Caenorhabditis elegans: one gene and its partner. The protein of the gene in region 1 interacts with the protein of each later gene in a pairwise test. Each region holds a gene or a part of one and is shown in the gene's direction. Other genes may lie near its edges. The genes, in order: rep-1 and rab-5.

Region 1 (8,176 bases):
CTTTCATTTGACAATAGTCACAAAATTTTTTGACCACCCCAAGTGTCCTAACTCGGAGCCAATTTTTTCAGGCATTTTTCTGATCTCGGTTCTTTTCAGTTTTCAATTGAGCTTTGTGTGCGGATTTTGCTTTGTTTAGAATACATTATTAGAAAACAACAAAAGTTTGGAAAAAAATCCGCCCAAAAAATTTTTTTTTGTCGAAAATTCTTGATTTTTCCTACAAAAATGATGTAACCAAGTGTAAACTATTTTTACACATATAAATCATTTGAGTTAAAAATTTGAATCTCAAGAAATATTCAAAAAACTAAAAAATTATCCGAAAAAATTGTATTTTCTACTATCATTTTAGTGTATCGAACTAAGTTGATATGTTTTGTATGTCGAAAAATAGTTTACACTTGGTTACATCATTTTTGTAGGAAAAATCTAGAATTTTCGACAAAAATTATTTTGAACATTTTTTGACGACCAACCAAAAAAATTTTTTTTTGGGCGGATTTTTTTCCAAACTTCTGTTGTTTTCTAATAATCTAAACAAAGCAAAATCCGCACACAAAGCTCAATTGAAAACTGAAAAGAAGCGAGATCAGAAAAATGCCTGAAAAAATTGGCTCCGCGTTAGGACACTTGGGGTGGTCAAAAACTTTCGTGACTATTGTCAAGTGAAAGATCATGGTTGATAACGTAAATTCCCAAAGTTTCATAAAAATCGATACGCAGCGAACAAAGTTATGATTTTTGACCCGGAACTTATTTGGAGACCTAATATATATATACCAGCCGTTCGAACGCGCTGAAGCGCGTGCTCCGACTGGCGTACTCAAAATTGAAATCAAATTCTAAAATTTCTAAGCCTTTCTCTGTAGATGGAACGTTTTTTTTCTGTTTTCCGGAAGTTTTCGAGCAACATAAATATTATATAGCTGAGTGTTTACAACTAAAAAAAAACGTTTTTCAAATCATATAAAACTTTTTTCCGGTCCTTTCCGAGAGTTTTTGGCGAGCGTTTCTGGAAATTATAACAATTTTGATCTTTTTTTTTCAAATTATTGAAACTTCAGAATATTCTAGGAGTATCAAAACTTGAAGAAGTTTTTTTTTTTGAACTTTCCGAAAGGTTCTAGAAATTTGCAGGTTCCTGAAATTTTCCACGAAATTGAACACTTCAGAATTTTCCCGATTTCTCTAGAAAGTTTTGGAACATTCCAGAATTTTCTCGAATTTATTTTTCTCAGAAAATTTGAATTTCCAGTCAACGAAGAGCCTTTGTCACAAAAACGACATATTATTAAAATTCACAGAATTTCCTAAATATTCCCTTCCTAAACATTTTCTCGTGACCCATGTGCTTCTACTCGTATTGGTGGCATAAAAACTGTATTTATTCACAGTTTCAGTCTTAAATTGGCCGAAAATGTGAATAAATACCGTATTTCTGCCAACAATTTGACAATAGAGCACATTTGTCACTCGGAGATGCGGAAGCTATGCCCAAATTTTCATTTTTCCCCCGAAAACTTGTATAATTTTTCAGGTAACCCGTGTACCGTACTCCCACGTGGCAGCCTGTCAAAGTTATATGCTATTCTACGAACGTGTCAAACCTCATCGACTCTACGAAAGGATGTAATTTCTGGATTTTTATTGATTTTTTTGAGAAAATTTTTTTTTTGGAAATTTCGCAATTTTTTTCCCAAACAATTGATTTATTTTGTTGCTAGATTCCCCTTATTTTTTGTTGTAAATTTTAACATTTTAATGACACAACGTGTAGCATTTCCTTTAAAGTTTATTTTTTGTGCAAAAATTCAGAAAATTTGAAAAAAATATTATAACTCTTCCCCCCGTCCCGTGCCATTTTTGTTAAGTTTTGTGTGTGTGTGTGAAAATGAAGATTTTTCGTGTTTTTTCCACTTTTTTTAGTTAATTTTTAAAGGTTTTCAGCCGTAAATCAAATATTTTAATAGAAAAAAAAATTTTTTTTGGAAAATTTTCAAAAAAATTTTTTTTTTTTTTGGTTTTTTTCAATTTTTCAAATTTAAGCATGACATCTCTTATTTTCCAAAAATTCAAACTATTTCCAGCTTTTCCAGCTCTAAAAAATGGACGAAAAGTTGCCAGAATCAGTGGACGTAGTGGTGCTGGGCACCGGACTACCTGAAGCCATTCTGGCTTCAGCTTGTGCTCGAGCTGGCTTATCTGTGCTTCATTTAGATAGGTAATAGGCGAACTAACATTTAAAAAAAGTTTAAAAAAATGAATGAATGAAATTGAAAAAAAAAAAATTTTTGCGAAAAAAAAATTATTTTCGGCTAAATTTTTTTTTTAATCATAACTTTTCCTCAAAAATACAGCAAAATTCGAATTCTCCACGTCGCCAGCTTCAATTTGATCCCCAAATTGCCTATATTCCGCTGGTTTTGAAGTTTTCGGGTCCCGCCACGAAAACTCCTCGGGTTACTGTAGTTTTTCGCGGCGGGACCCAAAATAAACGGATTCTGGGCATGATGGGGGTCATTTTGAAGCTGAGAACCTGATGAATTCAAATATCACATTAATTTTCGGGAAAAATCAGAAAGTAAAAATTTTCTGACCAAGTTTGTGGAAAATTTTTCGGAAAACGTCAAAAGTTTCCAATTTTCGAAAAATGTCAGCCAACTGATATCATATTCGAGTTCTCCACGTCACTAGCTTTAAAATAACCCCCCACCATGTCCATATTCCATTGATTTTGATTTTTTTGGGTCCCGTCACGGGTTACTGTAGCACCGATTTCAGCTGTGTCGATTGTCAAAATACACCGAACCTAGGCGTGTTGGGGCTCATTTGAAAGCTAATAACGTTGAGAAATCAGATTAATTGTTCGTTTTCGGAAATATCGAAAATTAAACAAATTTTAAGAAAAAAAAATATATATTTGCCAAAACATTTTTCAATTTTCAGAAATTTAAAAAATCAGAATTCTTTCTGAAATCTTCACGTTACCAGCTTTCAAATGACCCCCATCATGCCCATATTCCGCCTACTTTGAGAATTTTGGGTCCCGCCACGCGGGTTACTGTAGCACCGATTTCAGCTGTGTCGGTTGTCAAAATGCACGGAACCTAGGCGTGTTGGGGGTCATTTGAAAGCTGATAACGTCTGGAATTCGAATTTCATACTCGATTTCTTGAAAAATTCGAAATAAAAAATATTTTTGCAGAAATGAGTACTACGGCGGTGATTGGTCATCATTCACAATGTCGATGGTTCATGAAGTGACTGAAAATCAGGTTTTTATTGATTTTCAGCCAGAAAAACCCCAAAATTTCCGAATTTTCAGGTAAAAAAGCTGGATTCCTCGGAGATTTCCAAGTTATCAGAGCTTTTGACTGAAAATGAGCAGCTCATTGAGCTCGGCAATCGAGAAATCGTGGAAAACATTGAAATGACGTGGATTCCACGTGGAAAAGACGAGGAAAAGCCGATGAAAACGCAACTGGAAGAGGCTTCACAAATGCGGCGATTTTCCATCGATTTAGTGCCGAAAATTCTACTTTCCAAGGGAGCAATGGTACAAAATTGCAAAATTACACCTAAATTGGAGAACTTGATGTTTTGCCCTAATAGTCATCAAAAAATCAATTTTTGCCAAAAAAAAAATTTTTTTTGAAACTTTTTTTCTGAAAAAAAAGAAAAATTTTTCTAAAAATTCAATTTCCTCATTTAAAACTCTGAAATTCGAATTCTCTACGCCACCAGCTGTCTAATGACACCCAACATGCCCAGGTTCCGACCGCTTTGAAAATTTTGGGTCTCGCCACGCGGGTTACTGTAGCATCGATTTCAGCTGTGTCGAGACTGCCAAAATTCAAAATCAACGGACCACGGACATGTTGGGGGTCATTTGAAAGCTGATAAAGTGGAGAATTCGAATTATTTGCTAGTTTTCTGAAATATCGAAAATTTAAAAAAATTGAAAAATATTTTCCAAAAAATTGTCAATTTTCAGAATATTCAAAAATTAACATTTTTTCCGAGATCTTCACATCACCAGCTTCAAAATGACCCCCATCATGCCCTGGTTCCATGCAATTTGATTTTTTTGGGTCTCGCCACGCGGGTTACTGTAGCACCGGCTTCAGCTGTGTCAAAACTTCCAAAAGTCAAAATCAACGGAGCCGGGGCATGTTGGGGGTCATTCGAAAGCTGAGAGCGTCGAAAAATTCGAATTTCCGCATTATTTTCAGATATTGAAAAGTTTGACAAAAATTTATGGGAAAATTTTGAAAATCTTGAAAAAAATTTGGAAAAAAAAAACGATTTTCTTCCAATTTTTTGAATTTTTTCAGGTTCAAACACTCTGTGACTCCCAAGTATCCCATTATGCCGAGTTTAAGCTTGTCAACCGGCAGCTATGCCCAACAGAGACCCCAGAAGCCGGAATTACCCTAAATCCGGTGCCATGTAGCAAAGGAGAGATTTTTCAGAGCAATGCTTTGTCGTAAGGGATTTTTTTAGGCTGAAAATCGATAAAATATCGATTTTCTTTGCCAAAAAAATCGATTCGCAATGATAAATCTCCAAAAATTCTTCCAGAATCCTGGAAAAGCGAGCTCTTATGAAATTCATCACATTCTGCACACAATGGAGCACAAAAGACACGGAAGAAGGCAGAAAACTGCTCGCCGAGCACGCCGACCGCCCGTTTTCAGAGTTTTTGGAGCAAATGGGCGTTGGAAAGACCCTGCAGAGCTTTATTATTAATACGATCGGCATTTTACAGCAAAGACCCACTGCGATGACGGTGAATATGCGGAAATTACTGTTTTTTAGAAAAAAATCTGAATTTCTAAAAAAATTGAAAATGAAAAAAAAATCCAAAATTTTTTTTTTTGCACGAAATTTACTTCAATTTTTTTCAAAATATTATTGAAAAATTTGAATTCTCGCCACTCTCAGCTTCAAAATGACCCCCAACATGCCCGGGGTCCGTTGATTTTGAGTTTTGGCAGTCTCGACACAGCTGAAACCGGTGCTACAGTACCCCGCGTGGCGAGACCCGAATTTTCAAAATCATCGGAACCCGGGCAGTATGGGGGTCTTTAGAAAGATGATGATGTGGAGGATTCGAGTTTTGAGTCGATTTGAAAAGAAATTTATAATTGAAAAAAATTTGAGCAAAAAATTATTTTTTTTTTCGAAAAAATGTTGATTTTGTCTATTTTGCTAAAAATTTTTGAAAAATTCAAATCTCTAACGCTTTCAGCTTTACAATGACCCCCATCATGCCCATTTTCCGTGCAGTTTGCGCTCCGACACAGCTGAAACCGGTGCTACAGTACCCCTCGTGGCGGGACCCAAAATTTTCAAAATCGATGGATCATGGGCATGATGGGTGTCATTTGGAAGCTGGTGATGTGGAGAATTCGAATTTCGAGTTGATTTTCATGTCAAATTTGAAATTGAAAAAAATTTTGAGAAAAACAAATTTTCAAAAAAAAAAAAAAATTTTTTTCAAAATTTAAAATTTTTCCAAATTCCAGGGAATGTTGGCATCATGCCAGTTCATGGATTCTGTCGGCCATTTCGGTCCATCGCCATTCCTCTTCCCACTCTACGGATGTGGAGAGCTCTCACAGTGCTTTTGCCGGCTGGCAGCAGTCTTTGGGAGCTTATATTGTCTGGGACGGCCTGTACAGGCTATCGTGAAAAAAGATGGAAAGTTAGTGAAGAGAATAAGCGAAAAATCAATAGTTTCTGCGAAATTTGACCTAATTTTCAAGTCAAATTCCCAGCAAAACTAGTTTTATACAATATTCCGTGACTCATGTGTTTCTACCCAGATTGATGGCATAAAAACTGTTTTTATTCACATTTTCAGCCTTAAATTGTGCTGAAAATGTGAATAAATACCGTATTTCTGCCAACAATTTGACAATAGAGCACATTTGTCACTCGGAGATGCGGAAGCTATGCCCAAATTTTCAATTTGTCGGAAAACCAATTTTCTCAAAAATTTCCAGAATTACGGCTGTAATTGCCAATGGAGATCGTGTAAATTGTCGCTACATCGTGATGTCCCCGAGATTTGTCCCCGAAACTGTTCCAGCTAGTAGTACGCTGAAAATCGAGAGAATCGTCTATGCGACGGATAAATCGATTAAAGAAGCCGAGAAAGAACAGGTTCCGGAGCATTTTTTGGAGTTTTCCACCAGGAAATTCGATTTTCCCGCAAAATTCCACTCTAGAATTCAATTTCCCCGGGCTTCTAGCTCAATGTTACAATTTTTGGGGTTACTGTAGCGCCAAAAGTACGTTGACCTCGGTGCTTGCGTACCTGAGACCGAATTTTACGAAATTGAGCTTAAATTGGCTGAAAATCATGTTCCGGGGTGAATTGGCAACGGGAAATTCGAATTTCGCATTGAAAACCACCTTGGTCAACTGGTTTTCGAGAAAAATTTAATTTTACTCGAGAAACCAGTGCTCCTAGTTGATTTTCAATGCAAAATTCGAATTCCCCGTTGCCAATTTACCCCGTAACTGAAATTTAAGCCAATTTGGGTTCAATTTCGTAAAATTCGGTGTCAGGTACGCAAACACCACGGGGGCATCGCGTACTTTTGGCGCTACAGTAACCCCGAAAATTTCAAAATTGAGCTAGAAGCCTGGGAAAAAATAATTCTAGAGTGAAATTTTGCGGGGATTTCGAATTTCGTATTAAAAATCCGAAAAAATTTTCAGCTAACCCTCCTCAATCTGGCATCTCTCCGGCCCGACGCCGCAGTCTCACGGCTTGTTGAAGTGGGCTTTGAAGCCTGTACGGCTCCGAAAGGACACTGTAAGCCCCCACGTTTTTTCCTAGAAAAATAAAGATTTTTTTTTTGCAGTTCTGGTGCATGCAACGGGTACCCAAGAAGGAGAAACAAGTGTCAAGACTATTGCAGAGAAGATTTTTGAAAAAAATGGTGATTTTCGCGGAATTTTTAGGGGGAAATTTTGAATTTCCACTACCGAAAACCTATTTTTCGCTTAAAATTTGAGAAACTTTCATGGAAAAGTCATTTCCAAGTGAATTTTCCCTAATTTTAGGTGAAAAATTCGAATTCTCCGCTATAAAAAACCTATATATCCCCACGGGGAATCGAACCCTGGACCTTTTGCTCCAAAGGCGAGCCGCTTAGCCACTGCGCCACGCGTTGCAGCTAACCAGTGATGCATGTTGCACCCCGTGGCGCAGTGGCTAACAGGCTTGACTTCGGAGCAAATGGTCCCGGGGTTCGAGTCCCCGCAGTGGTGTATAGGTTTTTCATAGCGAACATTTCGAATTTTTAACTTAAAATTCGCAAAAATTGAGTTACAACCTAGTTTCCTGAAATTTTCGCTCGAAAATGATACAAAATCCATTTTTTTGAACTATTAATATATGTTAAGCTTCAAAGTTCTAAAATAGAGACTCCAAGAGTTGAAATCTCAGCAAGGATTCAGTGAAATTTTGAGAAAAATTATTTCCAAGTGAATTTTCCCCAATTTTAAGTGAAAAATTCGAATTCTCCGCTATAAAAAACCTATACACCCCCACGGAGAATCGAACCCCGGACCTTTTGCTCCAAAGGCGAGCCGCTTAGCCACTGCGCCACGCGTTGCATCACGCGCCGCTGGTTCGGCGCACCGGTGGCGCAGTGGCTAACAGGCTTGACTTCGGAGCAAAAGGTCCGGGGTTCGAGTCCCCGTGGGAGTATTTAGGTTTTTCAGGGCGGAGATTTCGAATTTTTCACTTAAAATTCGCGAAAATTGGCTTGGAACCCGGTTTTTCTTTAATATTTTTGAGTTTTTCGATTTTTCCTAGAAAAATCGATATTTTTTCTGCATTTCAGAAGTGGAACCCTACTGGAAGATGAGCTTCACCGCGAATTCCATGAAATTCGACACCGCCGGAGCCGAAAATGTCGTCGTCGCGCCGCCAGTTGATGCGAATTTACACTATGCTAGTGTGGTGGAGGAGGTTAGGGCGAAAGAACGATGAAAATTGGATTTTTGAGCTGAAATTGAATTAGAAATTCAAATTAGAAAAAAAAATTTCGAAAAAATATAAAAATTAAAAAAAAAAAATTTTTTTGAAAAATTTTTCAGAAAATTTTTTTTTTCGAAAATTTTTTTGAATTCAATTTTTATCGATTTTTCTGAA
Region 2 (4,462 bases), on another chromosome or scaffold:
TGAAAATTTTCGCGATTTTTTGGTGTGTGAAACTTCCCAATTTTAATTCCCTTTCGGTTTTTTAAGTTTTCAGAAAAAAAAGGGCGAACCTGAACAAGTTCTCTATGATGTCTAAGAACATCAATTGTCCTTGTCCACGTGGTTCGAGTACATTCCCAGTCATCGGCTCGTATCCAATCAGAACTTTTTGTGGCGGCTCGAACCATTTGAATGCTGAATTAGAACATTTTTTATCAAGTCTTAAAAACTTTTTCTACCGAAAATTAGATTTTATAAGCGTTGGTTTATTGTTGTATGAATCAGCAACGGGACTCATTATTCCTTCAACAACTTGTGTATTAATCGTTTCGAGATGTGACCTGGCGACCTGAAAATTCATATATCATACATTTAATGTTTTTTTTATTTGATTACCTCAAGCATACGTAAATGTGCAATTGTTGGTGGATTGAACGACCCGACGGCAAGAAGAGCGACTCGTTTCATCGTTTTATCACAATATTTATTGAAACTGAAAAATATTTTGTTTTCTTCTGAGCTATTTAGAACGAAACGTTTTTGAAAAAATATGAAAAATATCGAGAGTGATCAGAAACGAAAAATTTTTTTTAAAAGTGTGTCAAAAAATGCAAGTCAGGTGGAAAATCAGGATACGTTTAGGAAATTTCTTATTTATTGAACCTTTTATTCACAAAATCGACAAATTTTTATGATTGGGAAATATTAAAATTAAGCATGAAACAAATTTAAAATGAGAATTTTAATGTGAAAACATTCTAATACAGTTTACTCTTAAAGGGACATGGCTCAAACAAAAAAAGTTGTCTCGCAACGACTCAGCTACAGTAGTCTCTTTTGAATTTTCTTGAATATTATTTGAGACCCGAAGAACTCGGGGGATGTCCAATTGGGGGGATTACCAACTCGGGGGATTGGCCCCGCCCACAGAACCGTGGCTTGCAATACGCCCATTTCTGCAACTGCCGCACGGTTTTAAAATTATTTTTTCTTGTTATTTCTCGCTCTATTGAGAAAAATACAGTTTTAAAACCGTGCGGCAGTTGCAGAAATAGGCGTATTGCAAGCCACGGTTCTGTAGGCGGGGCCAATCCCCGAGTTGGTAATCCCCCCAGTTGGACATCCCCCGAGTTCTTCGGGTCTCTATTATTTCACACTTTTTCCGCTTAATTTTGCGCGTTTTTTTTAAATTTAGCCAAAAATTACCGGAAAATAAAAGTTTTTCGAAATGAAAAATAATTTTCATCAAAAATGTAAAATTGGCCTAGCGCGAAAAAATATAAATTCGAAAGCGCGCGCACCGAAAAGCCTCCTCCCGTTTTCATCCATTTTTGTCTAACTGTCTGCGATGTCACACAAACATTGAATACTCAGTCAACTGCGCCCGTCACCACCCCAGAAGGTACGCAGCCAAATTGGCTACCCCCGACGAAGCCCGTGTGTGTCATCGATGTCTGTTGCGCAAATATTTCTTTTTTTTAGTTTTATTGATTTTCATATATCCTGCAATTTAATTCGTTCACTACTTTTGGATGCTTCCAGAAAACTAATTTTAATCTCAAACTTCATCAAAACTTGAGAAAAAAGTTTATCAATTAATCAAATTACACGTGATGAATAATATGCAGAGATAAGCAAACTGAATTGATGAAAATAGTGATCAAAACCCGTATTTCTTTATCGATTTCATCACAATTTCGTTCCTCGTGAGACACCCGTATGAATCAATAATACGCTTGTTTACCACTCTTCAGTCTCTCGCGTGCCTTCAATCTTTTTCGGAAATTGCTCATTTCAAATCAATTTTTCCACTTTTTAAGTACAAGGATTTTTAGAAATTTTTCTAGAAATTTCAGGGATTCAAAATTGTTTTATCAATGAGAATTGAGATATAGAATTTTAGTCGAACATTATTTTTTTTGTTCTTTCTGGAAAGAAAAATGCAACATTATTTCTCTTTGAAACCATTTTGATATTTTTTCAGCTGAATCCTCCCTCATATCGTTTCCTATGTGAAATTATGCTTATTTTTTGCTTGTAATTTATTCGATCGATTTTTAATGTAATAAATTCAACAAATTTGTATTTAGAAAATGGCCGCCCGAAACGCAGGAACCGCCCGGCCTGGAGGTCCAAACAGAACGTGCCAGTTCAAACTCGTTCTTCTCGGAGAAAGTGCTGTAGGTGAGTTGATACTGAAAATGGAAAAAACCGCTAAAGGTTGGAGTAGAAAATAAAAGCAAACAAGAACAGTTTTCCAAAAAATAAAGATTTTTTTATTCTACTCCGTTCTGTCTGTAGCATATTTCGCAGTTGCTGAAAACCGTCACAAAATTTCGAAATTGCGTTGATTTCGAAGTTTAATTCTTCGTCTTTTGATTGTTTATATGTTTAGAATTATGGGTCATCTGATAGTTGCTAGCATATGACGTATATGCTCTCTTATTTCACCTAAACATCACAGAAAACTATCATTTCAGGCAAATCATCTCTCGTATTGCGATTCGTCAAGGGACAATTTCACGAGTATCAGGAGTCGACTATAGGTGCTGCGTTCCTCACTCAAACTGTGAGTTTTTGAATTTTTTGTGAAAATATAACAATTTTCCCTAATTTGAACAAAAATTTTGACTAAAATGAAAAATCTCGAATTTTAATAATATATTGTTTTTTAATAATATAATTGCGGAGATTTTTGCTCGAAAAACACGGATTTTATATTGAAAGACGTAAAAACGTTAATAATTAAGAATTGAATTTTCGAAATTTCAGGTGTGCCTTGACGATGCAACAATTAAATTCGAAATCTGGGATACTGCAGGACAAGAAAGATATCATTCATTGGCACCAATGTACTATCGAGGAGCTCAAGCGGCTATTGTTGTCTACGATATTACCAATCAAGAATCTTTCCAAAAAGCGAAAAATTGGGTAAAAGAACTGCAGCGACAGGCATCTCCAAATATTGTGATGGCATTGGCTGGAAACAAGGCTGATGTTGCCAATAAGCGAACTGTTGAGTATGAAGAAGCTAATGCTTATGCTGAGGACAATGCTCTCTTGTTCATGGAGACATCTGCGAAGGTACATTAGAAAATTTGGATTTTGACAATAAAAACATGTTAACAGAGTACTGAAATAGATCAAAAACTAAAATTGTTATTAAAAATAACAATAAACTTTGTTTTCTGCGAAGATAGTTTTTGAACTAATCTCCATTAAAAAATGAATGAGAAATTTAAGATTTCCAATTTAAAATCAATTCTCTATTTATTTAATTACAGACCTCAATGAACGTGAACGATATTTTCATGGCAATAGCTAAAAAGTTGCCAATCGGACCAGCACAGGGTGAACCAACGGGAACTGTCGATATGAACCAACCACAACAGCAACAAAAGGGTTCATGCTGTAAATAAATTGACGACTTTTTCATGTACCATCAACCCTTCTAGCTCCGCTCCTCTTTTGTTCTATATATCTTTTGAATCCAACGCCTGTGATCGTCGTCATTGTTTTCCCCTCGAAAAAAAAACACTTTTGAACAAGTTTTTTGTGCTCGCTTTCTTTATTTATTTTCACTCTTTTAACCCATATTTTCTCATTTTTTGTATATTTCTGACTAATGTTCAGCCAGTGAATGAGCTTGCACAATTGGCTCTGCCCATTTGCTTTTTATATGCGAAAACTCCCATTTTTTCATTCAAATGTTCCAATTATTTATTGCTTCTCACCATCAACATCCAAGTCCCGAACCCCACCATCCCACTGTTAGTACTTTTCTCGTCAAAGTTTCACCACCTTTTTGTCAATTTTTTTTCAAAATTTTATAGCATCCTTTCAGAATCTATCCGAATAAATTGAAGTTCGAAAATGTATATACTTGGTAACACAAAACCCTTCGTATACGATCGATATTAGATATTGAATTCAATTTTCTGAAAAACAACAAGGTGAGAATTATTTGAAGAATACAAATGTCCGATCAACCTGGAACAAGTAGACCGCCTCTTCGAGCAGAACCAACGCCCACAAAAAGTAAATGCTTTTCAAATCAATTGAATTCAAAAGAAAGTTAAATTTAAAAATTAAATAAATTTACTTTAAAATATACAAAATCATCTGAGATTTTTTAATTTTTTTAAATTTTTACATTCATTTTTTAAATATGTATCTGATTTTTTTTTCGAAAAGCAATGAAAAAGTATGGAAAATTATTTGAAACTACAGTACTCTTTAAAGGCGCGCACCTTTTTATATTTAACAATAATTTGTCGTGTCGAGACCGGGTACCGTGCCTGTAGTGAAAAAACACAAAGAAAATAGTTCTGTAATTTTTGTCATCAATTTTAGCTTTTTAAATCAAACTTTCTAGTAGGAACTTTGAATTTTTAATTTTCAGCTGCAACACGTCGACGTGCCCGTCCAATTGCAATACCATCAG

What was found.
Region 2: the proteins of rep-1 (region 1) and rab-5 interact in a two-hybrid assay, tested with the Caenorhabditis elegans proteins (one study listed by BioGRID).

Annotation. Positions count from the first base shown.
Region 1 is NC_003281.10:1,568,216-1,576,391, forward strand, and holds the start of rep-1 (Rab proteins geranylgeranyltransferase component A 1), read left to right. Parts: upstream 1-2,090; 5' UTR 2,091-2,108; coding exon 2,109-2,224; intron 2,225-3,208; coding exon 3,209-3,278; intron 3,279-3,328; coding exon 3,329-3,559; intron 3,560-4,337; coding exon 4,338-4,489; intron 4,490-4,584; coding exon 4,585-4,792; intron 4,793-5,531; coding exon 5,532-5,710; intron 5,711-6,011; coding exon 6,012-6,171; intron 6,172-6,732; coding exon 6,733-6,829; intron 6,830-6,878; coding exon 6,879-6,956; intron 6,957-7,117; exon of another isoform or gene 7,118-7,190; intron 7,191-7,214; exon of another isoform or gene 7,215-7,287; intron 7,288-7,559; exon of another isoform or gene 7,560-7,635; intron 7,636-7,656; exon of another isoform or gene 7,657-7,729; intron 7,730-7,865; coding exon 7,866-7,993; intron 7,994-8,176. Other genes in the region: Y67D2.2 (Ubiquitin carboxyl-terminal hydrolase), read left to right, coding at 1,541-1,636. UniProt on the Caenorhabditis elegans protein: Substrate-binding subunit of the Rab geranylgeranyltransferase (GGTase) complex. Binds unprenylated Rab proteins and presents the substrate peptide to the catalytic component B and remains bound to it after the geranylgeranyl transfer reaction.
Region 2 is NC_003279.8:9,306,334-9,310,795, forward strand, and holds rab-5 (small monomeric GTPase), read left to right. Parts: upstream 1-2,108; 5' UTR 2,109-2,111; coding exon 2,112-2,202; intron 2,203-2,498; coding exon 2,499-2,587; intron 2,588-2,790; coding exon 2,791-3,102; intron 3,103-3,302; coding exon 3,303-3,437; 3' UTR 3,438-3,888; downstream 3,889-4,462. Other genes in the region: nmat-2 (Nicotinamide/nicotinic acid mononucleotide adenylyltransferase 2), read right to left, coding at 90-213, 258-367, 415-486; uev-3 (Ubiquitin-conjugating enzyme E2 variant 3), read left to right, coding at 3,996-4,056, 4,421-4,462.